2 linked regions of the Macaca fascicularis genome follow. The protein of the gene in region 1 purifies or fractionates together with the protein of each later gene. This does not show direct contact. Links are inferred from orthologs where the notes say so. Each region holds a gene or a part of one and is shown on either strand. Other genes may lie near its edges.

Evidence for each region.
Region 2: the proteins of HSPD1 (region 1) and SIRT3 purify together in Homo sapiens (affinity purification with mass spectrometry; 3 studies listed by BioGRID and IntAct, counting the BioPlex papers as one, with this or other methods). This does not show direct contact. The link is inferred for Macaca fascicularis from reciprocal best matches to the Homo sapiens genes HSPD1 and SIRT3.

What each region holds. Positions count from the first base shown.
Region 1 is NC_088386.1:93,102,523-93,118,774, reverse strand, and holds the end of HSPD1 (60 kDa heat shock protein, mitochondrial), read left to right. Parts: intron 1-147; exon of another isoform or gene 148-206; intron 207-1,135; 5' UTR 1,136-1,137; coding exon 1,138-1,311; intron 1,312-2,606; coding exon 2,607-2,859; intron 2,860-5,886; coding exon 5,887-5,969; intron 5,970-7,153; coding exon 7,154-7,249; intron 7,250-7,658; coding exon 7,659-7,752; intron 7,753-8,420; coding exon 8,421-8,589; intron 8,590-11,224; coding exon 11,225-11,324; intron 11,325-12,178; coding exon 12,179-12,424; intron 12,425-13,254; coding exon 13,255-13,429; intron 13,430-13,711; coding exon 13,712-13,890; intron 13,891-14,887; coding exon 14,888-15,040; 3' UTR 15,041-15,505; downstream 15,506-16,252. UniProt on the Homo sapiens protein: Chaperonin implicated in mitochondrial protein import and macromolecular assembly. Together with Hsp10, facilitates the correct folding of imported proteins.
Region 2 is NC_088388.1:113,443-129,794, reverse strand, and holds the start of SIRT3 (NAD-dependent protein deacetylase sirtuin-3, mitochondrial), read left to right. Parts: upstream 1-8,940; 5' UTR 8,941-8,976; coding exon of another isoform or gene 8,977-9,056; 5' UTR 9,057-9,179; coding exon 9,180-9,298; intron 9,299-9,610; exon of another isoform or gene 9,611-9,905; intron 9,906-12,383; coding exon 12,384-12,575; intron 12,576-12,686; coding exon 12,687-12,919; intron 12,920-15,565; coding exon 15,566-15,666; intron 15,667-16,352. Other genes in the region: PSMD13 (26S proteasome non-ATPase regulatory subunit 13), read right to left, coding at 837-923, 1,118-1,161, 1,376-1,431, 1,517-1,551, 6,805-6,883, 8,718-8,812.

The sequences.
Region 1 (16,252 bases):
CGGGGCTCGCGCGCAGGGTGTGCAGATTGCAGGGGCCCGGCTGACGGGAAGGGGGTGGGAGCTGCCTGCACACGTGGTGCCCCGGGGCGGGGGGAGAGGCGGAGGGAGGGGACACGGGCTCATTGCCGTGTGCGCCCTGCACTCTGTCCCTCACTCGCCGCCGACGACTTGTCTCGCCGCGCGCACGCCCCGCCGCCGCCCCGCAGGTATGCGGCCTTCCCACGCCGCCTTCCCCGGCGCCTGCGACCCCCAAGTGGGCCTTCCTCCTCTGAGGTCCTGCTGGAGGATGCGGGCGACGACAACCTGGAGTTCTGCACCGCACCGCAGGCCCAGGCCCACGGGTCCAGGCCTCCCGGGTCCAGGCCTCCCGGGTCCATGCGGGTTCCATCACGTGCGACGCGGATCCTGGACCTCGGCTGGGCGCAGGAGGGACAACTCACGGGGATTGAATTTGGGGGATTGTAGCCACTTAGGCCCGCTGGTGCAACCCGCGCCTGGTCGACTTCGGGGAACCGGGGAGGGTGGTGTACGCGAGGGAACCGCTTTTTTCCCCCGCAGCTAGCTGGGATACCGCGCCTTCACTCTTGACCTTGCTGGGGGCGTTCGGAAAGACGTGGGCCCGCGCCGAGTGGGCCGGGCCGCCGCCCCCAGCATCGCGGCCTTGCTGGCTGCTCTGATACAGTAGCCTTGGGTGGATCCATGGAGATACTTTGCTGAGCTGCTTTTTGCACCGCCAGGAATACTTTCAGCTTCCCTGGTCACTGGGATTTGTAACTTGCCTCTCTCCGGCTGACTTGGTTTCTCAGGGGCCACAGTTGGAGTGGGTCTGCCCACAAGGCCGTTTTCGCGGTGAAAGATTAACTCGTTTTTGGCGGCAGGGATAGGTGGCCGTGGGGAAGGAGCTGCATGTGCTTTGTGCTAGTGCTATAGGTCAGGCGCCGGGGCGGCTCTTTAGCTTGCGGTAGTGGCTGATGTTCCGAAGCTGCGGCGCCTTCCGTCATTCAGGTGTAGTGGCTGGCAGAGGTCAGCCAGGCTCACCATCTCACGTTGCTTGCTCTGTTGCACAGGTGCGCATGTTTGTGCTGCAGCGCATCATAGGTGGTAGTACTGATTATCTATTTGCTTCCATCCCCAGAAATGCTTCGGTTACCCACAGTCTTTCGCCAGATGAGACCGGTGTCCAGAGTACTGGCTCCTCATCTCACTCGGGCTTATGCCAAAGATGTAAAATTTGGTGCGGATGCCCGAGCCTTAATGCTTCAAGGTGTGGACCTTTTAGCCGATGCTGTGGCCGTTACAATGGGGCCAAAGGTATCAGTATTTTTATTTTATTATAATTATGGTAGTATTAATAGCATTTTGCTCACAAATAGTCGCACTGAACTGTTGAACAGTACTTTCGTATCCATTTTTGAGAACTCAGTTTACATGTAAGAATTCTGAAGTATTGGTTAACTTTTTTTTTCTTAGACATGATCTTAAAGCTTAAACTGCTTCAGCCAGATTTTCGAAACTAGTTTGTTCAATGTGTGATGTAATCGGGTAGTAACATAGCTCAAGATGGATTCTTAAACTCGAGGTAGAATTTTGCTTGCCTAAGTTAAAATTTGGATCCTTTCTGAGTAGTTCATGCCAAGTGTAGAGAGAAGAGTTTAACTTATCTTCCATAATCCCTCAGGTATGTGCTTGTAGGTGCTAAATTTTTTTTTTTTTTTTGGTTTATTGTAAAATGTACACAACATAAAATTACCATTAAGTGTGCACTTTGGGGACATGGGGACATTAATTACATTTATGTTGTGCAGTCACCACCACCATCCATCTCCAAAACTTTTTATATGGGAAAATTGTAATTTTGTACTCATTATACAGTAGCTTCCCATTCTCTCCTCCACCTCAAGATGCTAGTTTTACCTATCGGTTTTCTGCTGTTCTCTTGTTCCGAAGCATATTTAAAATAAGTCTCATTTAATAGGGGTAATATTTTGAGGGGGGCTTTGAAGGTGGTGTGCGGTCAAGTGGTGCTTCATTTCAGTTTGAAGACAGTTCAGATATCAAGTGATCCAAACAACTGCATAAAACACAACATTTGCACACCTCACGAATAGAAAGTAGCAGCTTTAGTTCAAATCCAAAGGATGGTCAATAACTGTGCCATGGTTGAAGTTGTATGTTGAGTGAACTTGGAAGAGCACACTACTTGCCTTGATGGTTAATATTTTAAACGAATTTTAAAACAAGTCACATTGCTTTAAAAGATAACAGGCACTAACTAAAACTTAGGTATAAGTGATAGGAAGATTGTTTTATTCTTTGTCTTGTGTTCTTGTTCATTTTATAAGATGACAAATTTTAGTCCCTAGTATTTTAATCTTCTAAATTACTTAGTTCAAAATTATGCTCTTGGCAGAGAAACAGGTCATTCTGTCTGTAGACAAAGAATGTCGATAAACTTGCCCTTGAGATTCATGCTGCAAGACTGATAAAAATGACACAACTTATGTGGAGACTTTGAAGTAGTTGCTTTATTATGAAGACTGCTCATTTTTTAAAATATAAGTAATCCTTAGGGTATGTGTGATCCTGTTACATTTTTTTTCTTGTAGGGAAGAACAGTGATTATTGAGCAGAGCTGGGGAAGTCCCAAAGTAACAAAAGATGGTGTGACTGTTGCAAAGTCAATTGACTTAAAGGATAAATATAAAAACATTGGAGCTAAACTTGTTCAAGATGTTGCCAATAACACAAATGAAGAGGCTGGGGATGGCACTACCACTGCTACTGTACTGGCACGCTCTATAGCCAAGGAAGGCTTCGAGAAGATTAGCAAAGGTGCTAATCCCGTGGAAATCAGGAGAGGTAGGAATGTCTATTGTCACTACAGTGTTCTAAACTTCAGTGTGCTTTAAGGCATTGATTCCTTGGAGCTAAGGAGAGTGTCTGTTACTTTAGGAAATTGATCCTTCTCTCATTCCTCTTGGCCTGGAGAAATCTTAAACTGGGTTTTCCTTTAGCAAGTAGTGATTGAATGCCTGGCTGTATGGTGGGTAGGTACTGTTAGGTAATTTTGATGTTTTACTTAGTTGGTTTCTTTTGTTTTTAGAGACAGGGTCTTGCTCTGTAGCCTAGGCTGGACTGCACTGGAACTCCTGGACTCAAGCAATCCTCCTGCTTCAGCCTCCAAGTAGCTGGGACTACTACAGGCACTCACCACCATTCCTGGCTAATTTTTAGTTTAGTTTTGTAGAAAGTAAGATTGAATACACTGGATCATTCAGAATGTCAGAAAGTAATGTTTTTTGTTTTTTGTTTTTTGTTTTTTGAGACGGAGTCTCACTCTGTAGCCCAGGCTGGAGTGCAGTGGCCGGATCTCAGCTCACTGCAAGCTCCGCCTCCCAGGTTCACGCCATTCTCCGGCCTCAGCCTCCAGAGTAGCTGGGACTACAGGCGCCCGCCACCTCGCCCGGCTAGTTTTTTGTATTTCTTTAGTAGAGACGGGGTTTCACGGTGTTAGCCAGGATGGTCTCGATCTCCTGACCTCGTGATCCGCCCGTCTCGGCCTCCCAAAGTGCTGGGATTACAGGCTTGAGCCACCGCGCCCGGCAGAAAGTAATGTTTTCCTCAGTTTATTTTTTTTTATTTTTTTGAGACAGTCTCGCTCTGTCCCCCAGGCTGGAGTACTGTGGCGTGATCTACGCTTACTGCAAGCTCCGCCTCCCAGGTTCACGCCTCCCAAGTGAACCTCCTGCCTCAGCCTCCCGAGTAGCTGGGACTACAGGTGCCCACCACCATGCCCAGCTAATTTTCTTTATTTTTTAGTAGAGATGAGGTTTCACCGTGTTAGCCAGGATGGTCTCGATCTCCTGACCTCGTGATCTGCCTGCCTCGGCCTCCCAAAGTGCTGGGATTACAGGCATGAGCCACCGCGCCCGGCCCATTAGTTTATTTTTTCTTAATAGCACACACCGTGTTATTGGTTTGTGTTTTGTTAGTGCTTGTAACTGGAGTGCAACTTAATTAACAGATTTGCTCCTCAGCATGAACTTCATGGCAGTGTAGACTTAAATTCTAGTCCCATCTTTGTCATTTATTAGCTGTGTGCTAAGACTTGGTTTTCCTATCAGCAGAATTGCTGTGTATATCCAGCGTATGTTAGGGTTGAAACCAGGAACCCTCTTGTGAGTGAAGGTGGGGGAGCTATTGATAATTTTTTGTCAGAATTGGCATACTAATGTATCATTACCTCATATATTTCAATGTTTATGGACCAAGTGACTACACTTCACTAAAAGCAATTTTTTTTTTTTTTTTTTTTTTTTTTGAGACGGAGTCTCGCTCTGTAGCCCAGGCTGGAGTGCAGTGGCCGGATCTCAGCTCACTGCAAGCTCCGCCTCCCGGGTTCACGCCATTCTCCTGCCTCAGCCTCCCGAGCAGATGGGACTACAGGCGCCCGCCACCTCGCCCGGCTAGTTTTTTGTATTTTTTAGTAGAGACGGGGTTTCACCGGGTTAGCCAGGATGGTCTCGATCTCCTGACCTCGCGATCCACCCGTCTCGGCCTCCCAAAGTGCTGGGATTACAGGCTTGAGCCACCGCGCCTGGCTACTAAAAGCAATTTTACTGTAAATCACTAACAAGTATTAAGGTTATGAAGAGGACTTCCCAACACTTTGCATTGGATTTTTTTTGAAGTAACATTTCTCAAACAACAAGAGAGCTAGCACTACTCCCAGTTGAGCAAAATAGGACTGTTAAGAGTGATGTAAAACAAAAATATTTTGTTAGTTCATAATACATACTAAATTGAGGGGTTTTCAGATAATTGACACCTGCAGAGGCATAGTCACAACAGATTCCTATCACTTAAGAACTATACTTCTTGTTGAAAATAAGGGAGTGTTAACCATTTTGGTCCTTTTTTGCATCATCTAATGGACATGAGAAGTGTTGGGGACCCTACTGAAAACAGGCAGCATGATTGAGTTAGGAATAATTTGCATAGGATGAGTTCAGTGGTGAGACTCTTGAAACTATACATATCTACCTTGTTTTAGTCCTATTTTCTTTTTTTTTTTTTTTTTTTTTTTTGAGACGGAGTCTCGCTCTGCCACCCAGGCTGGAGTGCAGTGGCCTGATCTCAGCTCACTGCAAGCTCCGCCTCCCGGGTTCACGCCATTCTCCTGCCTCAGCCTCCCGAGGAGCTGGGACTACAGGCGCCCGCCACCTCGCCCGGCTAGTTTTTTGTATTTTTTAGTAGAGACAGGGTTTCACCGTGTCAGCCAGGATGGTCTCGATCTGACCTCGTGATCCGCCCGTCTCGGCCTCCCAAAGTGCTGGGATTACAGGCTTGAGCCACCAGGCCCGGCCTTAGTCCTATTTTCAAAATTTTGGCATTGTGAGATTTTATTTACTGTGTGAACCTAAAGTTACTGTTTAAGTACATGCCATGCAACTCTGTGTTATTAAGAAGCACTGTCTCAGAAGCTGTGTGTAAATTTAATATTAAGGCACTAAAGACCAAGCATAGGTACATGCCTGTAATCCCAGCTACATGGGAAGCTGAGGTGGGAGGATCACTTGAGCCCAGGAGTTCAAGACCAGCTTTGGCAACATAGTGAGACTTTGTCTACAAAAATAAAACGAGCTGAGCACGGTGGCTTGAGCCTGTGGTCTCAGCTGCTCCCTTGAGCCCAGGGTGTCAGGGCTTCAGTGAGCCGTGATCTGTGCTACTGCACTCCAGCCTGGGCGACAGAACAAGGCCCTGTCTCAAAAAAAATAATAAAAATAAATTTAAGGCATTAAAATATTTGTAACGAATCTCAAGATTTCTACTTGACTTAGAAGCCATGAGAGAAACAAACATTGTAATGACATATTGTTGAACTAGGTGTGATGTTAGCTGTTGATGCTGTAATTGCTGAACTTAAAAAGCAGTCTAAACCTGTGACCACCCCTGAAGAAATTGCACAGGTAAGGACTTAACATGTTATATGTGTTTTTAAAAAAATTTAATGGCATGTGTAATTTTTTTTTCCTTGATCACACCAATGTCAGAATAACAATACTACGCAATCATCAATATTAGAATCATTGTTTCTTACTGCTAAAACCTTTGAAAAGAATAGTGACCCTAATGGTTGTCATTTAGTTCTGCATGTGGTTGTCATTTTATTTTTTTATTTTTTTATTTTTATTTTTTTGAGACGGAGTCTCAATCTGTCACCCAGGCTGGAGTACAGTGGCCGGATCTCAGCTCACTGCAAGCCCCGCCTCCCGGGTTTAGGCCATTCTCCTGCCTCAGCCTCCCGAGTAGCTGGGACTACAGGTGCCCGCCACCACGCCCGGCTAATTCTTTGTATTTTTAGTAGAGACGGGGTTTCACCGTGTTAGCCAGGATGGTCTCGATCTCCTGACCTCATGATCCGCCCGTCTCGGCCTCCCAAAGTGCTGGGATTACAGGCTTGAGCCACCGCGCCCGGCCGTGTGGTTGTCATTTTAGTTCAACATGGCTGTAAAATGGATTTGTATGTTGTGAAAATGTTCTTAGCCATTGTCAAAGGTGCATAAATTTTGTCAGTTTGTAATGAAGTCAGCATTTTTAAACTTTTTGTTACAAGAATAGTTTTGTTTTTTGTTTTTTTTTTTTTTTTGAGACGGAGTCTCGCTCTGTCGCCCAGGCTGGAGTGCAGTGGCCGGATCTCAGCTCACTGCAAGCTCCGCCTCCCGGGTTTATGCCCTTCTCCTGCCTCAGCCTCCTGAGTAGCTGGGACTACAGGCGCCCACCACCATGCCCGGCTAGTTTTTTGTGTTTTTTTTTTAATAGAGACGGGGTTTCACCGTGTTAGCCAGGATGGTCTCGATCTCCTGACCTCGTTATCCGCCCGTCTCGGCCTCCCAAAGTGCTGGGATTACAGGCTTGAGCCACCGCGCCCGGCCAAGAATAGTTTTATATATCATATTCTTCAAAACAATGTAGTCAAATAATGAATCAGAAAAGAGCAAAGAACCAGTGTTTCATGAAAACTACCATAACGTAAATTCCCCTTCTCTCCCCTGAATGGAAGTATCAATTTGGAAGTTACTAGGAAAAGGTAAGGGAACTGACTAAGGACACCACCCTTACCTTTTATTGAAGAGTAACTTGATTATTTCAGGTTGCTACAATTTCTGCGAATGGAGACAAAGAAATTGGCAATATCATCTCTGATGCAATGAAAAAGGTTGGAAGAAAGGGTGTCATCACAGTAAAGGCAAGTGTGTTTGTATTTTTAAAGATAGTTTGAGTTATCTGATGATCAAAAGTTTGAGTTATCTGATGATCAAAACTGAATTTTCCAAATAGAAAAATTCTGTGTTTTAAAAACAGTGCTTTTTTATTCCTTCATATGTAGTCTCAGCACATGTATAGAATAAAGTACTTACTGTGTTTTATGTGAATTCGCCTTTACTCCATGAAATGAATCCATCTTAACTTAAATGATTATTCAAATAAGCACTTCTTGGAATTTTTTGCAGAAGTGTAATTGGATGTCCTGGGCTTTTTCATACTCCACCCTACATCTCTTATGGCCAGAGGAGTCTGTTTTTATTAATCTGGCCTGTAATTCCATGTTTTGTTTTCAATGAAATCAATATACCTAATTCTTTGATATTTCATAGGATGGAAAAACACTGAATGATGAATTAGAAATTATCGAAGGCATGAAGTTTGATCGAGGCTATATTTCTCCATACTTTATTAATACATCAAAAGGTAAGAACAAATCAATAACTGAGTAATTATTATTATTTTTTATTATTTTAGGCAGAGTCTCATTTTCTGTGGCCCAGGCTGGAGTGCAGTGGCGAGATGCAGTGGCGCATTGCTTACTGCAACCTCCGCCTCCTGGGTTCGAGTGATTCTCCTGCCTCAGTCTCCCGAGCAGCTGGGATTACAGGCACACGCCACCATGCCAACCTGATTTTTGTATTTTTAGTAGAGATGGGGTTTCACCAAGTTGGCCAGGCTGGTCTCTTAACTCCTGACCTCAGGTGATCCACCTGCCTTGGCCTCCCAAAGTGCTGGGATTACAGGTATGAAGTACCATGCCTGGCTAATTTTTGTATTTTTAATAGAGACAGGGTTTAGCCATGTTGACCAGGCTGGTTTTGAACGCTTGGCCTCAAGTCATCTGCCTGCTTTGGCCTACTGAAATGTTTAAAATATACTTTCTTAATGTGTGTCAAACTATAGGTATTAGTTGGTGTCATACTCTAAAAAATAAATGTGTATATTCCAAAAGTTAATGCATATTAGACATGAAGGAGGAAAACAAACTCACTGATCAATTTTAAAATGTATTGGAACCTTGGTTTAGCTTTTCACTTAAATACATTGCAGTCATTTTTTGTATATTTTTGAAATCTTCATTATTTTTACAGGTCAGAAATGTGAATTCCAGGATGCCTATGTTCTGCTGAGTGAAAAGAAAATTTCTAGTGTCCAGTCCATTGTACCTGCTCTTGAAATTGCCAATGCTCACCGTAAGCCTTTGGTCATAATCGCTGAAGACGTTGATGGAGAAGCTCTAAGTACACTCGTCTTGAATAGGTAATAGGCAGTGGTATTTGATGATTTATATTTCTGGGTCAAAGACAGAATTATTTCTGTTTCTATTCGCAGTCTCCATCATGTGTACCTCCACATTTGATCCAGTTGTGTTTGTATCTAGAATTGTCATTGTGTAAATCAGATGTGCTCTATGTATCCTTATGGTTCTGTTTTTGAAAGGGACCCCAAATTCTTTACTATTTTGCCCAGCTGTCACGTAGAACAGACTGATTTAGCACATTGGTACCTTTCTATATTTTGCAAGTGTTTACAGTTGTTTTGAAGGTACATGACTGGATCTTGTAATTTTTTTGTTTGTTTGTTTGAGATGGAGTCTCACTCCATGGCCCAGGCTAGAGTGTAGTGGCATAATCGTGGCTCACTACAATCTCCATCTCCTGGGTTCAAGCAATTCTTCTGCCTCAGCCTCCCGAGCAGCTGGGACTACAGGCATGTGCCACCACACCTGACTAATTTTTGTATTTTTAGTAGAGACAGGGTTTCACCATATTGACCAGGCTGGTCTCAAACTCCTGACCCGTGATCTGCCCACCTTAGCCTTCCAAAGTGCTGGGAATTACAGGTGTGAGCCACTGCTCCCGGCTTGTAATTTTTTTTTTTTTTTTTTTTTTTGGCGACAGAGCCTCAGTCTGCCTCCCAGGCTGGAGTGCAGTGGCTCAATCTTGGCTCAAGCCTCCTGGGTTCAAGTGTGAATCTTTTTTTTTTTTTTTTTAAAGGTTTTTCTGGTTAAAAATATGTATATTTTCAGAATATTATTTTGCATAGAACAGGGAAGTAAACAACTAACATTCCAAATAACTCAAATGGGCCAGGCACAGTGGCTCACATCTATAATCCCAGCACTTGGGGAGGCACAGGCAGGTGGATCACCTGAGATCAGGAGTTCGAGACCAGCCTGGTCAACGTAGTGAAACCCCATATCTACTAAAAATATAAAAATTAGCAGAGCTTGGCGGTGCACGCCTGTAATCCCGGCTACTCAGAGGCTGAGGCAGGACAATCGCTTGAATCCAGGAGGCAGAAGTTGCAGTGTTCCGAGATTGTGCCACTGCACTCCAGCCTGGGCAACAAAGTGAGACTCTGTCTCTAAATAAATAACTGAGATGTAAGTGTATTTCACCATCGAATATTTTTTATTTGTTTTGAGAGACAGACTCTGTCACCCAGGCTGGGCTGCTGTGGCATGATCATAGCTCACAGAAGCCTTGAACTCTTGGTGTCAAGCAATCCTCCTGCCTCAGCCTCCCAAGTAGCTGGGACTACACACTTGCACAAGCACACTTGGCTGATCTTTTAATTCTAAGGGCATTATTAAAATGTTTGTTCTTCCTTATCTGAGAATTGAAGTATGTCAGAAGCAAGACTTTTCTTTCCATTTCATTATAGTAGAAATGCACAAATTAGGAGGTATGTTTTAGACATTACATGTGTTGATGTGACGCAAAAGCTCTAATGAGCTGCCTTACCCTGGAACGTTTTTCTTAGCTTGGATTTGCTTTGTTGGAGGGATTAAGAAAAGACTTGGCCAGGAGCGGTGATTCATGCCTGTAATCTCAGCACTTTGGGAGGCTGAGGCAGGTGGATCATGAGGCCAGGAGATGGAGACCATCCTGGCTAACATGGTGAAATCCCATCTCTAGTAAAAATACAAAAAAAAATTAGCTGAGCGTGGTGGCAGGCACCTGTAGTCCCAGCTACTTGGGAGGCTGAGGCAGGAGAATGGCGTAAACCTGGGAGGCAGAACTTGGCAGTGAGCCGAGATCTCACCTTAAAGACTTGAGGCCAGAAAAAAACAAGTCTACGGAGTTTTCATTAGGCCATTTAACTGCTAGTTGAAAACTGGGATATCCAGTTTACATAGCATATAGCTTATTCCTCTAATTTTTATTTGGGTCCTTAATAAAATAGACCAGCTGTCTTGAAGTTTGAACATTCCTTCTGTTTCACAATCTGTTCTCAAATGGACATTTGATTGCACATTCTAAGTATTCATTTACCTGGCAAAAATTTCAGGTGAGCTTAACAATACTGTCAGCTTTTTGTATAACATTTATAAAAGAAGTGAATTCAGAACATTGCTCATTCAAAACTCAGCATTAATACAATCTATGGAGTAGATGTTTATTAAATGACCCTCAAATGTAGTATTTAGTAATTATTTTTCTACCATTCATAATAGTTAATCACTGTATCCTATAACTTATTGTGATGTGATTTTTGCTGCTCAGCCTCCCGAGTAGTGGGGATTACAGGTGCCTGCTACCGCATTTGGCTGATGTTTGTATTTTTAGTAGAGACGGGGTTTCACCATCTTGGCCAGGCTGGTCTCAAACTCCTGACCTCGTGAGCCACCACGCCCGGCAAGGCCAACAGTTTATTAAGAAGATAAACAGATATGAACAAGTATAGATTAATAGAAAATAGCCTTAACTGTCTCACATCTTTCCTGTCTTAATTTGATCAAAAATTGCTAGGAAGCAAAAAAAAAAAAGCAAAAACCAAACCAGATTACTTAGGGAGTCCTAAGTAATCTAAGTAGTAACAGAGCTTGAGGGGAATTTAAACAGAGGCATTTTTATTTCATTTAAATCTTACTGTCAACTATTCTTAACAGGCTAAAGGTTGGTCTTCAGGTTGTGGCAGTCAAGGCTCCAGGGTTTGGTGACAATAGAAAGAACCAGCTTAAAGATATGGCTATTGCTACTGGTGGTGCAGTAAGTAAAATAAATGCGATAATGGTTTGCTGAATGTTTATACTTGTCTGAAATTTATAGATAGTTTAACATTTTTCACAATTAGATACTACAGCTATCTGTTTCTGTTGGCTCTTTGGAAGGTAGGGGTTGGATTAAATTCCCTTTAATTAGCTACGAGGCCACGAGTCTGGCCTAAGAATGGGCTTTTATTGACTATTCTATATTCACTAAATCTTACTGACTGAATAAGGGGTTTCTTTTTTTTTTTTTTTTTTTTTTTTTTTGAGACAGGGTGTCTTGATCTGTCACCCAGGCTGGAATGCAGTGGCACAATCTTGGCTCACTGCAACCTGCGCCTCCCGGGTTCAAGCAATCCTCCTGTCTCAGCCTCCCAAGTAGCTGGGACTACAGGTGCAGTACCATGCCCAGCTAATTTTTTTACTTTTAGTAATGGTGGGTCTCACTATGTTGCCTAGGCTTCTCAAACTCCTGGACTCAAGCAATATGCCTGCCTCTGCCTCCCAAAGTCCTGGGATCTGTTTTCAGTTTTGAAAGATAAAAGTGTGTGCTACAAATGATGTAGGACTTGAGAGTCAAGGCCTATGGTCTTGTCCTGGCTCTACCAGTAAGTGTGACCTTGGATGTTTTTTTCTCAAGTAAGGCTAATAATAATTACCAGAGTTGGGAGAATTGAGAAGTTGGAAATGCAATGGAAGACTATACTCAAGTCTTGTTCTGGACTAACAATGATCTTACAGTCTCTCATTTCAAAGAATATTTCAAGATGATTCTCTTGCCTGGTATATTAATAAACTTGGTATAATGGTAGAAACTGTAACCTACAGCTGGTTTACGTTTAACTCATTTTGTAGGTGTTTGGAGAAGAGGGGTTGACCATAAATGTTGAAGACGTTCAGCCTCATGACTTAGGAAAAGTTGGAGAGGTCATTGTGACCAAAGATGATGCCATGCTCTTAAAAGGAAAGGGTGACAAGGTTAAAATTGAAAAACGTATTCAAGAAATCATTGAGCAGTTAGATGTCACAACTAGTGAATATGAAAAGGAAAAACTGAATGAACGGCTAGCAAAACTTTCAGATGGAGTAGCTGTGCTGAAGGTAAGATTCATTATTATGAATAAGTTTTTTGGGTTCTGAGTCCAAGAATGATTGTCCTTCTGTAGTATTCCCCAGTAGTACCATGGAACTAAACAAATATTTGAGGAATTAATAGTGGAATTTTGTTTTGTTTTGTGGGTTTTGTTTTTTTTTTTTTTTTTTTTTTGAGACAGAGTCTTGCTCTGTCGCTCAGGCTGGAGTGCAGTGGCTGGATCTCAGCTCACTGCAAGCTCCGCCTCCCGGGTTTACGCCATTCTCCTGCCTCAGCCTCCTGAGTAGCTGGGACTACAGGCGCCCGCCACCACGCCTGGCTGGTTTTTGTGTAATTTTTTTTAGTAGAGATGGGGTTTCACCGTGTTAGCCAGGATGGTCTCAATCTCCTGACCTCATGATCCGCCCGTCTCGGCCTCCCAAAGTGCTGGGATTACAGGCTTGAGCCACTGCGCCCGGCCTTGTTTTGTTTTAAGCCCTCCGTCACCTAGGCTGGGATGCAGTGGTGCAATCTTGGCTCGCTGCAACTTCCGCCTCCTGGGTTCAAGCAAACCTCCTGCCTCAGCCTCCCGAGTAGCTGGGATTACAGGTGCTTGCCACCATGCCTGGCTAATTTTGTATTTTTCGTGGAGACAGGGTTTCACCATGTTGGCCAGGCTGGTCTCAAACTCCTGACCTCAAGTGATGCACTCACCTCAGCCTCCCAAAGTGCTAGGATTACAGGTGTGAGCTACCATGCCCACCCCAGGATTGCTTTTTAAGTAAACTGCTTTTAAATGACTTGGCAATTAGCATCTTGAATGAAGAGGCCATACTAACTGAAATTCTTTCATCTTTAGGTTGGTGGGACAAGTGATGTTGAAGTGAATGAAAAGAAAGACAGAGTTACAGATGCACTTAATGCTACAAGAGCTGCTGTTGAAGAAGGCATTGTTTTGGGAGGGGGTTGTGCCCTGCTTCGATGCATTCCAGCCTTGGACTCATTGACTCCAGCTAATGAAGATCAAAAAATTGGTAAAAAGTTACCTTTTAAATGAGTTTGTGGCCTGATTTTAGTGTTTCTGTTAGAATAATAATGTTGCAGTCCCCTAAATGGAACAGCACATCCATTTCCTGAATAACAGAAGTAGAATAGTGCTAATGTCAGAGCTAAACATGCATCACATCTTTTTCAGAGGAAATTATTTGACCTGTAGTAGGATTGGGATTTCCCTACATCAATATCCTCACAAATTATAAATGTGTTATAATATTTACAAATGAAAGTATTAAAATTTTGCTGAAATTTCTTTGTAGGTATAGAAATTATTAAAAGAACACTCAAAATTCCAGCAATGACCATTGCTAAGAATGCAGGTGTTGAAGGATCTTTGATAGTTGAGAAAATTATGCAGAGTTCCTCAGAAGTTGGTTATGATGCTATGGCTGGAGATTTTGTGAATATGGTGGAAAAAGGAATTATTGACCCAACAAAGGTAAATAGTTGAACACTTTCTAAAAATTCTTTTGTTGTTCATTTTGTTAATATCCCCACATCCCAAATCTTTGGTCACCAGAAAAATAGTCTAATAGCAGTAGCAACAGCAGTAGCACTTGTGCCCATCAACAATTCTCATGTACATCTTCAGAACCTAGATATTTATTTATTTTTTTATTTTTTATTTTTTTTTTTTTGAGACAGAGTCTCGCTGTGTCTCCCAGGCTGGAGTGCAGTGGCGTGATCTCGGCTCACTGCAAGCTCCGCCTCCCGGGTTCACACCATTCTCCCACCTCAGCCTCCCAAGTAGCTGGGACTACAGGCGCCCGCCACCACGCCCGGCTAGTTTTTTGTATTTTTAATAGAGACGGGGTTTCACCATGTTAGCCAGGATAGTCTCGATCTCCTGACCTCGTGATCCACCCGCCTCGGCCTCCCAAAGTGCTGGGATTACAGGCTTGAGCCACCGCGCCCGGCCGAACCTAGATATTTAATACTCCACTAAAAGGAAGGGGGATTCCTTGAGTAGCAGTTGAGTCCATGCCTGGAGGCAGGAAAAAATCAGGATGGATCTGGAACACCCTGTTCCTGCCTGGCCAGTAAGAATACTTTCCAAGATACCCAGAACAGGGTTTTGTTTCATTTTTGAGACAGAGTTTTGTTCTTGTTGCCCAGGCTGGAGTGCAATGGCACGATCTCGGCTCACAGCAACCTCCACCTCCTGGGTTCAAGCGATTCTCCTGCCTCAGCCTCCTGAGTAGCTGGAATTATAGGCATGCGCCACCATGCCTGGCTAATTTTTGTATTTTTAGTAGAGATGGGGTCTTACCATGTTGGCTAGGCTGGTGTTGAACTCCTAACCTCATCTACCTGCCTCGGCCTCCCAAAGTGCTGGGATTACAGGGGTGAGCCACCATGCCCAGACAGAAATTTTCAGTAAGTCTTGCTCATATTTTACTAAGGGAAAACTAATGTTTAATTAAACTTTTTTCTAGGTTGTGAGAACTGCTTTATTGGATGCTGCTGGTGTGGCCTCTCTGTTAACTACAGCAGAAGTTGTCGTCACAGAAATTCCTAAAGAAGAGAAGGACCCTGGAATGGGTGCAATGGGTGGAATGGGAGGTGGTATGGGAGGTGGCATGTTCTAACTCCTAGACTAGTAGTGCTTTACCTTTATTAATGAACTGTGACAGGAAGCCCAAGGCAGTGTTCCTCACCAATAACTTCAGAGAAGTCAGTTGGAGAAAATGAAGAAAAAGGCTGGCTGAAAATCACTATAACCATCAGTTACTGGTTTCAGTTGACAAAATATATAATGGTTTACTGCTGTTATTGTCCATGCCTACAGATAATTTATTTTGTATTTTTGAATAAAAAACATTTGTACATTCCTGATAATGGGTACAAGAGCCATGTACCAATGTACTGCTTTCAACTTAAATCACTGAGGCATTTTTACTACTATTCTGTTAAAATCAGGATTTTAGTGCTTGCCACCACCAGATGAGAAGTTAAGCAGCCTTTCTGTGGAGAGTGAGAATAATTGTGTACAAAGCAGAGAAATATCCAATTATGTGACAACCTTTGTGTAATAAAAATTTGTTTAAAGTTAATAATTGTGTTAGCCTTTCCATGATTAGAAGATACTGAAAAATGAAAGCCAGTTGAAGGGGCAGACTGGCATGTGTATAAAACATCCTACTTATGATATTTTCATGTTTCTCTTTGTTGTAGACTGAACTACATTATTCCATTGATAATGGGGAAAGACAGTTTCTATTTTCCCCTGTGCAAGGATTTTACAGCTCTCTTGGAGAGAGACCTCCAAGAGAGCTGTAAAATCTGGGAGGTTGGAAGGAACTCCACCTCAGCGTGGCCTTTGGGCTGCTGCTGCAAGCAAGGCATTGAGGCAAATATTTCTGCTGTCCTTACCTTGGACAGAAGTAGAGGGGAAAAATAAAGTCCATCATCACGTGAAAGAGTCACTTGAAATCCTATACCTAGAATACCTTTGGCTTTGGTAATTTGATTGTGTTTGGGGTACAAAAAAAAGATCTATTTGATAGCACAACGGGATGACTATAGTCAATTGTATATTCAAAAATAATGTAATTGGATTGTAACAAAGGACAAATGCTTGAGGGGCTAATACCCCTTTCTCCATGATATGATTATTTCACATTGCATGCCTACATCAGAACGTCTCTTGTACCCCATAAATAAATACACCTGCTATGTACCCACAGAAATGTTTTTAAAAGGCAGAATTGGTCAGCAGATGAGAGGGGATTGAAAAAAGGCATGTTAACTGAAAAAATCTTGTCTAGAATGTAGTTTGGGCTGCAAAAGTGGCAAGCAAG
Region 2 (16,352 bases), on another chromosome or scaffold:
CACATCCATACCTGTCTCCCAAACTGCACGAAAACATAATTGAACATAAGAAAGACATAAAAATACACAGGATACTTCAGCAACATTTAGGAGGCAGAAGGAAGGTGGAGGAACAGCACATGACGTGCCAGTGGTGTGTAGGCTGACCTTGGTCAGGGAGAACCAATGTGCTTTGGGCTGACTGAGGCCGTTGGAGTCATTATTAGACGAATGTGCTGTGGTCACACGGGACTGCTCTTTTGTTTAAGGGCAGCAGGCATTGTATCAGCAACTTACTCTTAAGTGGTTTTGGAAAAAAGCTACAGACACACACAAAGGCAAAAGTAGTAAAAGCTTAGCAATCGGGGGCTGGGCGCAGTGGCTCACGGCTGTAATCCCAGCACCTTGGGAGGCTGAGAACAGAGGGATCACTTGAGGTCAGGAGTTCGAGACCAGCCTGGTCAACATGGTGAAACCCTGTCTCTACTAAAAATACAAGAAAATTAGCCGGATGTGATGGCAGGTGCCTGTAATCCCAGCTACTCAGGAGGCTGAGGCAGGAGAATCGCTTGAACCCAGGAGGCGGAGGTTGCAATGAGCTGAGATCGTACCACTGCACTCCAGCCTGGGTAACAGAGCGAGACTCCATCTCAAAAAAAAAAAAAAAAAAAAAAAAAAAAAAGGTTTGCAATGGGGAATTTGGGTTGAGGTATAGGAGTTCTTTGTGTTATTTTTGCAACTTTTCTCTAATTTAAAAATGTTTTAAAATAAATAGTAAAGAACAAAAATAGGTTTTTTTTTTCCTACAGTTTTAAATAATTTTAATCCAAAGAGAAATCTGTATATGGTGAGCTCACCTTTGTAACCTGTAGGTCCCCGATGTTTAATTTTAGAGCTCCAATTGCTGTTTTACACAGGATCACTGCCTCATCACTACTTTTCACCTAAGACATCAAAAACAAAAACAAGAAACCTCAGAACGTGGGCAGCTGACTAACAAAAGAAGCCAGCTACTTGCACATTAACGCAACCTTGATGACTAGAGACCATGTGGTCTCTCAAGGTCTGGATGGTGAGCATGGACACAAACTGTAAGTCATCCATACCCTAAAAGGTATTGCTCACATCTCACATTTACCTTCTCACGAGTCTTTTCCAGGAAAGTAAGAGCCACATTAGGATCTGGAAAAGAAAGAACAGTCAGAAGAACCATCAACAGACTGGTTTCTACTAACCAAGACATCTTTAGGTAGGATAATCTTTAGGTTTTGACCATAAAGTAGAATAAAAATACAATATTGGATACAGAAAGCACAAAAGTTCAGTTAACTTATATTTCAAGATAATTTTAACTACCACTTGGATCTACTCCTTTATAAAACAAAGTAAGACTTACCAGTCATCTGTCTAACTACATGAAGAATGATTTCTACCAGGGACAAAGGATTCACCCTGAAATGAAAACCACCAGTCTTTGAGTACCAATGAGTATCAAAGTACTCATCTGCAAAGTAAAAAAGGGATGAAAGGGTTTTACCTGTGTTCAAATTCACTGATAAAGTTTTCATAAAGCTGTGAAACCAAAACACGGAGAGAAATTACAGGATGTCTTGTATTCTGCAAAATGAAGACCCCAGATACTATTTTTGGTACAGAAGCTGCATCAATGCTATCAAGTTGGGAGTGTGCAAACCACAATGCCCATTACACAGTAAGCAATGCACGTTTGCAGAATGACAGGAGACCATATTAGGGCTTATTTACATTCACGTATGATCAACAGATTATTAAGGAACATTAGGTTTCTTCTAGCTTTGGGAATTAGGGTACGGACCGATAAGAACCTCCAGACAAATTCCTATATTCTTTCTTCCAGGTATTGTAAGTTAAATAGACATCAGATTGAAATGCTCCCCCAGTTTTCTCCCTGTGGCTTCTGGGCTGTTGGTATTTGGATGCTTGTGAAGACGGCTTGTGCCGCTGTGTGGTCTCCAGCCGACCAGGACAGGTTTATTTGTATCTATCCTGTTTGTTGAAGTAATAAGAAGACCATTGTGCAAGGAAGGTGAAACCCCATAAGTAAGTCTGTTGAAAATCCTACAGCTAGAGGTTCAAGACCTATGTTCAGCAGTTGGACTTAATGCATTTCTTGAGAAAAAGAGAATGTACTCTAGAGAATGGAATTGTGATGTCTAGTACAAAGGCAGAGTCTGGGCCCAGCTCAGACGGGAGATGGCAGCCTCTGTCTTGCACATTTCCCATCACATGAAGTCAGTAACGTTGTGTGCAGCATAAACGATACCTCAACTAAAAACAAGGACACAAAAAAACAGGAAAAGCAGGAGGCAGTGACCAAAGTCTTCAACAAGGAGAGGGAAGAAAAAAAGGGAAAGGAAAGAAAAAGACGTAACAAGCGGGGCACAGTGGCCCACGCCTGTAATCCCAGCACTTTGGGAGGCCAAGGTGGGCGGATTACGAGGTCAAGAGATTGAAACCATCCTGGCCAAAATGGTGAAACACCGTCTCTACTAAAAATACAAAAATTAGCTGGGTGTGGTGGCACGTGCCTTTGGGAGGCTGAGGCAGGAGAATCGCTTGAACCTGGGAGGCGGAGGTTGCTGTGAGCTGAGATCGCACCATTGCATTCCACCCTGGGCAACAAGAGCGAAACTCCATCTCAAAAAAAAAAAAAAGAAAAAGAAAAAGACATAATGTAGTATCAGCACCAAGTATGTGGTACTACTTGGTATGCAAAAGCCTCCATTAAGAGACCTGAAGTACGTAGTAGCCTCCATTAAGAGACCTGAATGGAGGCTTCTAATTTGTATCAAAGGAAAACAGAAGCGTTTCGTTTGCATTATTTACCTGAACTGTGAACCCTTGTGCCTCCCATCTTTATCAGAGTTGACAGTGAAATAACCTTGTATCAGAAGTTTGCACCTCACTTTTATGGAGTATAAAATAAGTTTTTTGACTTTCAATGCATTTTTTTTGGAAGAAAATATTTTAAAACGGACAATGGCCTATACAATAAGTTACTTGAAATCTTATATCTATCTTCTGCGTAAACATATTTCAGATAAATTTCAATTAGATTTGAAATACACATTTTGTTCACCTATTAATGAAATAAAATTTGAAACAAAAAAGAAATGCTCGCTAATCAAACGGAATGGAGTTCCTTCAGATTTTAGAAGGTTAAAGCTAATTGTGCGCCATTTTGAAATTTCTTAGCCACTCAGCACACTTGAGCACTTCCTCAGACTCCATGCTAGGTAGTACAGCACAGAACGTGTAAGACAAATGATGGGTCTTCAAGGAGCTCCTGGTCTACTGAAGACAGTCTTTAAACAAATAAATGACAATACAGTGAGTTTAAGTGCAAAAAGAAAGAAAGAAAAAGCACAGAAGTGCATCAGCCAAAGGGAGAAGCTTCAAAGACGGTTACTGCAGAAGTGGCAATACTGAGTTTCGGGAAAATGAGCACAGTTAGAGAGGTGGCCACGTGGTGTGGGAGAGGAAGAAGCTGAGAGAAGAACATTCCAGACAGTAACAAACATGTGCAAAAGCACTGAAGACAAAAATACATTATGTTTCAGGAGTAGTTCTGAGGGACACAGACTAGGAAGCACTGAAGATTGGTCTCTGTCCAGAGTGCAAGGCTGAACCAGAGGACCCACATGATCATTTCTATTTTAGAAACATGCCTGGGGCAGAGAGGACAGCAGGTGAAAGAGACCGAGAACAGTCAGAGGCTAGTAGTGGCCAAGACAGGAGCGTGAAGGAGCAACAGTAATGAGGATGGATGAATACTCTGAGAGAGATTTAGGGGTAACTTGAAGCAGACTCACTCAGATGTGGGCTGGTCACAGAGAAGGAGAGCTGACAATAACCCCTGAGCTTATGGCCTGGGTAACCGGGCCAAAAGAGTGCCTAGTGTGGGCACAGTGGGAGAGGGACCCTCCAAATGACCTTAACTTTGGATTAGGAGAGCCTGTAGTTCCTCTGGGATACGAAGGTAGAAGGATGAACACACCCCTGTAGCAATTACATGTTTGAATCAGGCACACAAGAAACAGCCAACTAAATAAAATGGCATTTGTGTCCCGAGGCTGTGGCTCACATCGGTAATGCGGCACTTTGGGAGGCCGAGGCAGGTGGATCACTTGAGGACAGGAGTTCAAGACCAGCCTGGCCAACATGGTGAAACACCATCTCTACTAAAACTACAAAAATTAGCCAGGTGTGGTGGCACATGCTTGTAATCCCAGCTACTTGGGAAGCTGAAGCATGAGAATGGCTGGAACTGGGGAGACGGAGGTTGCAGTGAGCTGAGTTCTACCATTGCACTCCAGCCTGGGTGACAGGGTGAGACTCCGTCCCCTTGCCCCCCAAAATAAATAAAATGGTGGCCAGGTGGTGGTTCACACCTGTAATCCCAGCACTTTGGGAGGCTGAGGTGGGTGGATCACCTGAGGTTAGGCGTTTGAGACCAGTCTGGCCAACATGGTGAAACCTTGTCTCTAATAAAAATACAAAAATTAGCCAGGCGTGGTGGCGGGAGCCTGTAATCCCAGCTACTCTGGAGGCTGAGGCAGGAGAATCGCTTGAACCAGGGAGGCGGAGGATGTAGTGAGCCAAGACTGTGCCACTGCACTCCAGCCTGGGCAACAAGAACGAAACTCTGTCTCAAAAAATAATAATAAATAAAATTTTTGGCCGGGCGCGGTGGCTCAAGCCTGTAATCCCAGCACTTTGGGAGGCCGAGACGGGCGGATCACGAGGTCAGGAGTTCGAGACCATCCTGGCTAACACGGTGAAACCCCGTCTCTACTAAAAAATACAAAAAACTAGCTGGGCGAGGTGGCGGGCGCCTGTAGTCCCGGCTACTCGGGAGGCTGAGGCAGGAGAATGGCGTAAAAACCCAGGAGGCAGAGCTTGCAGTGAGCTGAGATCCGGCCACTGCACTCCAGCCTGGGCGACACAGCGATACTCCGTCTCAAAAAAAAAAAAAATAAAAAAATAAATAAATAAAATTTTAAAAATGGCATTTTTGCTACAAGAGACTATTTCAAAGATATTTTCCTTATTAGAGGGAAATGTTTGAACTTTCCTGACATCTATTGATCTAAAAAAGTACCTTAAAAAAGAAGCCCACTAAGTCCAGAAAGTCAAAATTACTTCTGGTGACTACAAATTCACAAATACTAGAAATTCACAAATACTAGAATTTCACAAATAATATCCATTTACACTTATGCCGACTGGATCCCAACAATTTTTAAAGGTTTATTCTGTCCATGGGAAAAGTAAACTCAGATCTGCCAACTTAAATAAACATCACCTTACCGTGAGGTTGCGGCCATATTTTGCCACGTGTAGAAAAGTGATTTAAAGATAAGAAGCCAAAGGACAGAGATAAACAATTAGGAATCATCTATCCTGATGATTTAGAACCTCAGGGAACAAGTATTAAGACAGGTCTCAGGCCAGGCACGGTGGCTCCTGCCTACAATCCCAGCAGTTTGGGAGGCCGAGGCAGGCAGATCACCTGAGGTCGGGAGTTTGAGACCAGCCTGGCCAACACTGGTGAAACCCCATCTCTACTAAGAAATACAAAAATTAGCCAGCTGTGGTGGTGGGCACCTGTAATCCCAGCTACTTGGGAGGCTGAGGCAGAAGAATCGCTTGAACTCGGGAGGTGGAAGTTGCAGTGAGCCAAGATCGCACCATTGCACTCCAGCCCGGGCAACAGGAGCGAAACTCCGTCTCAAAAAGAAAAAAAAAAAAAAAGGCAGGTCTCATTTATCATTTTCCCACATAATCCAGAAGACTGAATGTTCAGCAAAATCTCCAGGCTTACAGATGATTTTAAGTTCCTCTAAATAGTAAAATGTCAAATTGATGGCTATAAACCACAAGAAAATCTTACAAGCCCAGGTGGTGGGGTAGTAAGGTGGTAAGCTCTGTTGTGAGCATATAAAAGTAATGTATTCCGGAGAAATGACTCAAGCTGTAATTATAAGCTATCAGTTACAATGCTGGTGTGAATCTCTGTTTCATTCAGAATGAGAGTAAGATGTCAGGAAAAACTTCAAAGAGGAGGCTACCAGTGAGCAAATTTGTGGGGATGTGTCAGGGGATCTGGGGAAGGCTAGGAAAGAAACTGCGTTTTTTTAAACTGTTGAAAAAATTCTAGAAGTCCTCTATTACAGAGGCAGCATGACACTATTCAGAACTCTCCCTCCAACCCACCTACCCTCAACCGAAGTACAAAAGGTGCTTTATCTTCCACACTACCCAGGACAGAAGTGTCTGGGAAAGCAGTCAGTGTGGCTTAAAGAAGGGGAGTGATGGAAGTTATCTAAGATTCCCACAGATAGTAATCTTCCTCACACCTTACTCCACCCTCTAACTGGGTTTGAACTTTGTATCTAATAACAGTTTTCTAAAAATAGAGTACTAAAAAGAAGCCTATGAACTAAGATACTCAGGCATGTTTTAAGATAGTACTTTATGCCAGAATTTTAGAAAAAGCCAGAATGTTAGTGTTTGAATCCTCTTCTGCCACTTATTAGCAGTGACCTATAGTAAGTTACTTAAAGTCTTACGTTTGCTTCTACATCAAAAAAGTGAGATGAAAGTAGTATCTACTGAGCAGCGTCGTTAGGAAGGACGTGTAAAGCACTCAGACCAGTACCTGACATAAAGGGACTTCTGAAGAATTGTAGCTTATTATTATTATTATTAGCAAAAAGCCCATCTTATTTTAAAAAGTCCTTGAGCACATTCATATAATCTGACCTGGTATCGCAAATTATTTACCTTAATGAGACCATCTCCTTGGGCAAAGCACGGATCCTGCACAAAATCAAGCACCTGAAGTGTCAGCTGATGCCACAACCTGAAAAACATACAGCCCTTAAGACCTCTAACCTAATATCCAGTCACAGACACCTTCAGCCTTGATGATCCTATCAAGTCACAAATATAGGTTGGGTATCTCTAATCCAAAACTCCAAAATTCAAAATGCTCCAAAATCCAAAACTTTCTGAGCACCAACGTAAGGCTCAAAGGAAACGACCATTGGAGCATCTCAGATTTCAGATTTTTGATTCATGGATACTGAATGGGTAAGCACATATCGAAAATATTTCAAAATCCGAAAAAATACTAAATCCAAAAAACTTTTGCCCCAATGCATTTCTTTCTTCTTCTTTCTTTTTTTTTTTTTTTTTTTTTTTTTGAGACAGAGTCTCACTCTGTTGCCCAGGCTGTAGTGCGGTGGCACCATCTTGGCTCACTGCAACCTCTGCCTCCCAGGTTCAAGTGATTCTCCTGCCTCAGCCTCCCGAGTAGCTGAGATTACAGGCATGAGCCACCGTGCCCCGCCGCCCCAATGCATTTCTGGTAAGAGATGCTAAATCCATACTAACCAGTGTCTACTGTGTAGTAGAAAGAATGCTAAAGCAGATGCGATAAACCTGAGTTCTTTTCCTGGCTCTGCTGTTGAATGGCTATGTCACTTTAAGATCACTTAACTTCTCTCTAAGACTCAGTTTTCCCAGGTATGAAATGGAGAACATTATTCTAGATTACCTCAGAGGGTTACTGTGAGGTTTGATTGGAAACGAGAACTTTGGAATCATACATATCTACCTTGAGATTCTGGCTCTTCTACCTATTAGCTAGTATCTCAGGGAAGACAATTAAAACGAGCTTCAGTTTCCTCCTCTGTGAAAAGGATGAATAAAGGATTAAATAGCGCTTCATCCAAAACCTAAAGGCTAATATTTAATAACGCATATGAAATGCTTTGAAAATTACCAAGTGCTATCCAACACAAACCATTATTTGCCAAACATTAATTTGCTCTCAAAAACTGCTAATAGCAGAAGGCTGCTGAATGCTAAACATCATCAAAACATGTATGGAACATCTATGTGAAAGGTATTATATTAAATGCTAGGGTTAACAGGGAGGTTACTACAGGAGATGTATTTTCTATGGAATAGCTCCAGCCCAATGCCAGCAATTTATCCTATCATTTTAAAAGGAGATTAGTGCTTAGCAACAATTTAATGGCTCTGCAATTCATCCTGTTTCTAAACAAACTTAAACTTTAAGATCTTTCTAGGGGCACACAGCCCAGCGAGAAATACAATGGAAGGTAAAGACAATGGGACGGGGTGCAACCAGTTGCAGAATGAATAGGGAAGAGAGCAAAGCTGCACTAGCCTCTGGTTTATCAACTCCAGACCATGAGAAAGATAACTGTGGATACAGTTACACCATGCCAAGGCTAAGCGCGAATCACCAAGATCTGTTTCTCAAAGTGGGTGGCAATCTGGTTCTGAAAGTGTGTTTGCTTGTTTCGCTGGAATACAGAGCTAAAAGCAAAGGCTTCCCCTGAACCGTCTTAGTAAGACCCGAGGTAGACGAGTTCAGAAGCCTCAGTCACAGTCCCTCGTTAGGGAAGCACTGAATCTCAGACCCAAACATCCCTGGCTACAGCTCTTGGCCCTCGTGGTCTGTCATCCTTCTTATTCCTCGACCCTGCCACTCGGGGTTCCTCAGCAAACCCTGCCGGCACAGCCAGTCGCTACACGTCCCCGTTTCCCCGCAACTTGGGTCTGGGCGCCCTCAGCCCATCAAGGGCCCGCCTCTCCGCCCGCCCGCCCCCTCCGTCTCCCTCTATCGCCGGGGCCCAGGGCCCGTCTGTCTGCTCGGAGCTTACTTCTTCGTGTAGAGTTCCTCCAGACGGTGCCACACAGCGGGCTGTCCGGGCCCGGAGCTCTGGCTCTGCTGTAGGAAGCCCGGTACGTCCTTCATGACAGCAGGAAGACCCCCGGCACAGAAGAACAACCGGGATGTCAGCCCCGCGGGGATGTCTGCCGGAAATGCTCACTCACTTCCGGCGCCGCGCGGCGCGGGGCAGGCTGGGAGCGCCGTAGCCGGCCGGGGGGCGGGGCCCGCTGGTTGCCCGGTAACCGCGCATGTCTGCGCTCGGAACAAAACTCTCCGGCGTTTGCAGCCCGCTTCCCGCGCACCTGGTTGTGCCACTGAGGCTTAAAAAGTATGGGTGCCTGTGGTCGAACCGGCCATGGACTAGCTTTGTGGTGTCAGCCTTTGTGACCCGGAATTGCTGCTCTCAAATGACCTTCCCAGTAGGGTCTTGCGAGGACTAGGTGTAAATATAATGCCTGACCATAGTAAAAGCGCTCAGAAAGTATTAACTGTCACCGCCATCCGGGTTGAAAAAGGTGTGAGCGCAGGGTACAGAAATGCTGGCTCCAGGTTTGACCTCCTGGGCGAGAGGTCAGACACCAGACTAGGGAACTTCCTCTACTCGGCCTCAGCGTCTACCAGGTCGCGCCGGAGGCGTGGACACGGAGGCGGGGCCGGGAGGCGGAGGCGGGGCCGGGAGGCGGGGCCGGGAGGCGGGGCCGGGAGGCGGGGCCGGGAGGCGGAGGCGGGGCCGGGAGGCGGAGGCGGGGCCGGGAGGCGGAGGCGGGGCCGGGAGGCGGAGGCGGGGCCGGGAGGCGGAGGCGGGGCCGGGAGGCGGAGGCGGGGCCGGGAGGCGGAGGCGGGGCCGGGAGGCGGAGGCGGGGCGAGTCCGGAGGACTCCTCAGGCTGCGGGGAACACGGCGTTCTGGGGTTGGCGCGCCGTGGCAGCCGTCCGGGTGTGGGGCCGGGTAGCTGAACGGGCCGAGGCCGGGGGAGACGTGGGGCCGTTCCAGGCCTGGAGCTGTCGGCTGGTGCTTGGCGGCAGGGACGATGTCAGTGCGGGACCGAGAGGCAGCCGCGGGGTCCGCGGTGAGCCCTTGGACTCGGCGCGCCCCTTGCAGAGGCCTCCCAGACCCGCGGTGCCCAGGGCATTCCGGAGGCAGCCGAGGGCAGCAGCTCCCGGTTTCTTCTTTTCGAGGTATTTTGGGCAAGGACAAGCACTTCTTGCGTGTTCGTTGTCTACACCTCGCCCCCCTTTCTCACCTTGCGGTGTTTCCTTTGAGGCATGTCTGGGAGTTACTTCCGTTCCAACACCCGCCCGTCTTTACGCTGATCTGTGGACGTCCTTTACGGGGTTTTGTCGTTTAGTTCACCATTCCCCCATTGAAATATCTTCTAACCTTTAGTTACTTACATCATGCTGTGGTGAATAACCTTGTTTGCACCTCACTTTTTGCATAAATTCCTAGTACTGGGACTGCTAGGTCCAAAAGTATATGCATTTAACGCTTTAATTATCCCTCATAAATGTTGTGCGGTTAATGCTCCCACCCCATGTGATCATACCCGTCTCCATAGTAATTGCATCTAAGAGCTGAGCCTACATAGGAAAAAATCTTAAGGTCCATGGTTGTTAGGTATCAAATGCCCTATGATGGATGAATATTTAAGTAAATAATGGTACATTGACTTGATGCTGTCTGACACACTGCTGAAAATATTGGTGAAAAGTGAGGCTTGAAGTGGTAGCTCACCCTTGTAATACCAGCACTTTCGGAGGCTGAGACAGGGCGATAGCTTGAGGCCAGGAGTTCAAGACCAGCCTGGGCAACATAATGAGACCTCCATCTCTACAAAAAATTTAAAAATTAGCCGGGCATGGTGGCGCAAGCCTGTTGTCCCAGTTACTTCTGAGACTAAGGCAAGAGGATCCCTTGAGTCCAAGAGTTCAAGGCTGCAGTGAGCTATGATTGAGTCACTGCACTCCAGCCTGGGTGACAGAGCAAGACTCTTATCTACCTGGGAAAAAAAAGAAAAAAAAAGTTTAATAGATCCTGAAATGTCGGCTGGGCATGGTGGCTCATGCCTGTAATCCCAGCACTTTGGGAGGATGAGGCAAGTGGATAACGAGGTCAGGAGTTCGAGACTAGCCTGGCCAACATGGTGAAACCCCGTTTCTACTAAAATTACAAAAATTAGCTGGGGGTGGTGGTGGGCGCCTGTAATCCCAGCTACTCAGGAGGCGGAGGCAGGAGAATCACCTGAACCCGGAAGGTGGAGGTTGCAGTGAGCTGAGATTGCACCATTGCACTCCAGCCCAGGCGAAAGAGCAAAACTCCATCTCAAACAAAAGATCCTGAAGAGTCAGTCATTCATCCAAGAAGCCCTGACTGAGCTCTTGTTCTGTGCCAGACTCTGTTCTAGGTGCTATGGATGGAGCGGGGACCAGGACCGACAAACACATGGAGCGCATTCTAATATCAGTGATACTCTGCAAGACTGTTAAACAAATCCTTGCTACCACTGGCCCTAAAGCAGGAGGCACCGGGCTCCCTATGAGGAGTCCATTGCATGGGCTTTCTGCAGTTTGGCTTTGGATTTTGGAGCTCTCTGAATTTGTTCTTTGTGTCCTTTGCACAGTGTCCCTCCCAGGTTGCCCCCATGCCTGCCCCTCAGGGTCCCCCACTCCCAGTGAATTTCACACCATGCAGCATATACTTTAAGCCATACATCTGATGTTCCAGACATTTGGTAAAATGCCGTTTATATGTTATTCAGTGACTCACAAACATTTTATTTACGTAGATGAGGAATGTACTCAGGCACCCTTCGGGATACCTTGGCCTCAGCAGGCACTCAACAGCCATAATAACTTTCATTCCTTTATGCTTCTCTTAACAGTTCATGTTTAGTAGCAGCACAGTAGCTATTTGAGGAATGACTTTAAGTTAATAAATGTCTGAAATGGGGCGTTTAATAGGTGGTGAGATGGTTTTAGAGCCAGGGTTTTCCCTCTTTGCTTCTCGACTACTTGACGAGTTTTCATTAGAAAACCCCTTTGGGGCCGGGCGCGGTGGCTCACGCCTGTAATCCCAGCACTTTGGGAGGCCGAGACGGGCGGATAATGAGGTCAGGAGATCGAGACCATCCTGGCTAACACGGTGAAACCCCGTCTCTACTAAAAATACAAGAAAATTAGCCGGGCGAGGTGGCGGGCGCCTGTAGTCCCAGCTACTCGGGAGGCTGAGGCAGGAGAATGGCGTGAACCCGGGGGAGCGGAGCTTGCAGTGAGCCGAGATCGCGCCACTGCACTCCAGCCTGGGGCACAGAGCAAGACTCCGTGTCAAAAAAAAAAAAAAAAAAAAAAAAAGAAAACCCCTTTGGAGGTTTGCACTCAGAGAGTTGAGTGCCTACTGAGTGTACTGAATTATGAAATGAGCACAGTTCCCATTAACCTGAAATTTTTGCTCCCAAATAAGTCTTGATTCTGATTTATGACTGCTTTCCGTTGTAGCCCACTAGTCATCTGAGAAAGGTGATTATTTTGAGAGGCCTGGGAGGACATACATGGTCATTCTGGATGGTGGGGGTGGTGCAGAGGGCAGAACCATGCTTTCTTGCTATCCTGAGACTGGTCGCTATCTGTTTCCTTTGCTGCTGTGTTTTTTTCTGTCAGTATTAAAGGTGGAAGAAGGCCTATATCTTTTTCTGTGGGTGCTTCAAGTGTTGTTGGAAGTGGAGGCGACAGTGACAAGGGGAAGCTTTCCCTGCAGGATGTAGCTGAGCTGATTCGGGCCAGAGCCTGCCAGAGGGTGGTGGCCATGGTGGGAGCCGGCATCAGCACACCCAGTGGCATTCCAGACTTCAGGTACTGCCCGCAGTCCCACCTGCCTTCTGCACTCCCCTCCCCTGCCTCCTGCCCTCCCCACTGCCCGGTTTCTTGCAAAGGCCTCAGAGCCTCTGTCTTCTCTCCCTGCAGATCTCCAGGGAGTGGCCTGTACAGCAACCTCCAGCAGTACGATCTCCCGTACCCCGAGGCCATTTTCGAACTCCCATTCTTCTTTCACAACCCCAAGCCCTTTTTCACTTTGGCCAAGGAGCTGTACCCTGGAAACTATAAGCCCAACATCACTCACTACTTCCTCCGGCTGCTTCATGACAAGGGGCTGCTTCTGCGGCTCTACACGCAGAACATCGATGGGCTTGAGAGAGGTGAGCCCTCTGTGAGTCGCACACATTCTTTTTCTCACAGGGAAGGCTCAGGTGCCTGTTTCTGGGGACGGCCGAAGCCTGGTGTTTGTGCTTCTTCCTTGGGACTGTTTTTGAGCCAACTAGTTAGGGCTTTGTTCCCAAGGAAAATGTCTCTGGGTGTTTAAAGGCCACTGCTTGTTCTCCTACATACCTGCAGAGCTGTGTATTTTGGGCAGAAGTTGACATTGTTTTGCCAATCTGGTGTGATGATCTCTCTTTTTTCTTCTCTCTTTTAAAAATTGTATTATGGAATTTTTTTGAGCACACGCAAAGAGAAAAATGTAACGAACCGTCCTGTCCTCATCACCAGCACATAGCCAGTCCTTCCTGCGTCCTCACCACTTTCTTCCAAATCCCCAGATTATTTTGAAGCAAACCTCTCATATCATGAATTTAATCTAGAAATAATCTATAAACACATGAATGGATATCTCTAGAGGATACTTTAAAAACAACTCCGGCCAGGTGTGGTGGCTCACATCTGTAATCGCAGCATTTTGGGAGGCCGAGGCAGGTGGATCACCTGAGGTCGGGAGTTCGAGACCAGCCTGGCCAACGTGGCAAAACCCCATCTCTACTAAAAATACAAAAAATTAGCCAGGCATGGTGGCGTGTGCCTGTAATCCCAGGTATTTGGGAGGCTAAGACAGGAGAATCTCTTGAACCCAGCAGGCGGAGGTTGCAGTGAGCCGAGATCATGCCACTTCACTCCAGCCTGGGTGACAGAGGGAGACTCTGTCTCAAAAAAATAAATAAAAATAAAAATAATTAAAAAAAAATAAAACCAACTCTGATACCATTTTCACGCTAAAGAATCACTAGTAATTCCTTAATATTGTCACACCCAGTCTGTGGTGATTTCTTGGCCATATCCACATGGTGCCCAAACCAGCGGTTCACAGGTTGTGCCACCTTCTGGCCGTGCACCTTGCGGAAGCACTTGGTGGGGCCTTTTCCTTAGTGCAGTGCTGTGGACAGGCGCTGGGACAGTCAGCCCTCCGGGAGCCAGGAGCGGCTCAGCCAGTCTGCTGATGTGTTGTCAGGTAAAAAGAGGAGGCACCTTGGCTCCAGGCATGTGTTTCCTTGCCAGAAGGATCCCCTAGCTTGGAACCACAGAGGCAGCAGTGGGTACCCCATGTTGGTGGTCTCTTCTCCCAGAGGTGCAGCAGGGCATGCCTTGTGGGAAGGCGGGAGCTCCTGGCTGTGAGATTCAGCACTGCTGAGTTAGGGCAGCGACAGGGACTTGGGAAGCCTCCTACAGCGGGGACCATGACAACACTAACACAGCCTTCATAGGAAGTCACTTTTTGTCTGGTTTTCTACCAAGCCGTTCTTTTGGAATTTATGATATTTATATCCTCATTTTAACTTGGTATAGAATAGAAAATGTGTTCCTAGATATTGGATACAATTTTTTGAGGCAGGGTCTTGGCTCTTTTGCCCAGGCTAGAGTGCAGTGGCATGATCATAGCTCGCTATAGCCTGAGCTCTTGGGCTGAAGTGATCCTTTTGCCTCAGCCTCTGGACTAGCTGGGACTACAGGCATGCACTGCCATGCCTGGCTAATTTATAAAATTTTTAAAGACAAGTCTCACTATGTTGCCCAGGCTGGTCTCAAACTCCTGGCCTCAAGTGATCCTCCTGCCTTGGCCTTCCAAAGCACTGGGATTACAGCTGTGAGCCACTGTGCCCAGCCTGGTATTGGATATAATTTTTTTTTTTTTTTTTTTTGAGACGGAGTCTTGCTCTGTCGCCCGGGCTGGAGTGCAGTGGCCGGATCTCGGCTCACTGCAAGCTCCGCCTCCCGGGTTCACGCCATTCTCCTGCCTCAGCCTCCCGAGTAGCTGGGACTACAGGCGCCCGCCACCTTGCCCAGCTAGTTTTTTGTACTTTTTAGTAGAGATGGGGTTTCACCGTGTTAGCCAGGATGGTCTCGATCTCCTGACCTCGTGATCCGCCCGTCTCGGCCTCCCAAAGTGCTGGGATTACAGGCTTGAGCCACCGCGCCCGGCTGGATATAATTTTTTTTTTTTTAGAGACAGAATCTCTCTCTGTCGCCCAAACTGGAGGGCAGTAGCACGATCTCAGCTCACTGCAACCTCCACCTCCCAGGTTCAAGCGATTCTCCTGCCTCAGCCTCCCCGAGTAACTGGGACTACAGGTGCCCGCCACCACATCCGGCTAATTTTTGTATTTTTAGTGGAGGTAGAGTTTCACCATGTTGGCCAGGCTGGTCTCAAACTCCTAACCTCAAATGATCTGCCCACCTTGGCCTCCCAAAGTGTTGGGATTACAGGCGTGGGCCACCGTGCCCGACTGGATATAATTTTATTTGAGCTTTTATCAAATGGTGTTTTGTACTGAGTTTTGACAGGCTTTGTTTTAACCGTGATTTGGCTCCAGCTGGGCGCCCCTTTGCTCCCCTGCCTTATTCTGGTTGGTGGTGCATGTAGGTGATATGGGCATGAACACCAGGCTTGAGGACATCGCAACCCAACGGGGTTGTGCCTCCTTCCAGGAGGCCTGCCAAGCCCAGAAGTTGTGCTCTGGGACTTGTGTGCTCATCTTGGAGGCAGCAGCAACACTTAGCTTTGGCTTGAATTTCAGTGTCGGGCATCCCTGCCTCAAAGCTGGTTGAAGCTCATGGAACGTTTGCCTCTGCCACCTGCACAGTCTGCCGAAGACCCTTCCCAGGGGAGGACTTTCGGGTGAGTTATCCTGCTGTCGGTCGTCCTTCTGCAGTTTGCTGTTGGGGTGATCTGGAAAAGTGGTATTTTATAAGCATTGTCTCGAAAGGACAGTTGAACAGTAATAGTATGAAAATTTTTATTTGTAAATTAGAAATTTAATACATGTTTGTAAAACAATTTAAGATAATATAGAAATATGTAGGGAAAGGCCGGGCGCGGTGGCTCAAGCCTGTAATCCCAGCACTTTGGGAGGCCGAGACGGGCGGATCACGAGGTCAGGAGATCGAGACCATCCTGGTGAACACGGTGAAACCCCGTCTCTACTAAAAAAAATACAAAAAAAAAAAAAAACTAGCCGGGTGAGGTGGTGGGCGCCTGTAGTCCCAGCTACTCGGGAGGCTGAGGCAGGAGAATGGCGTAAACCCAGGAGGCGGAGCTTGCAGTGAGCTGAGATCCGGCCACTGCACTCCAGCCTGGGCAACAGAGCGAGACTCCGTCTCAAAAAAAAAAAAAAAAAAAAAAGAAGAAATATGTAGGGAAAATGAATCTCCTTTCAGCCAATTCCAGCTGCCTACTTTTTAATTTTTTTCAAGACGGAGTCTTGCTCTGTCACCCAGGGTGGAGGGCAGTGGGGTGATCTTGGCTCACTGCAACCTCCGTCTCCTGGGTTCAAGGAATTCTCCTGCCTCAGCCTCCTAAGTAGC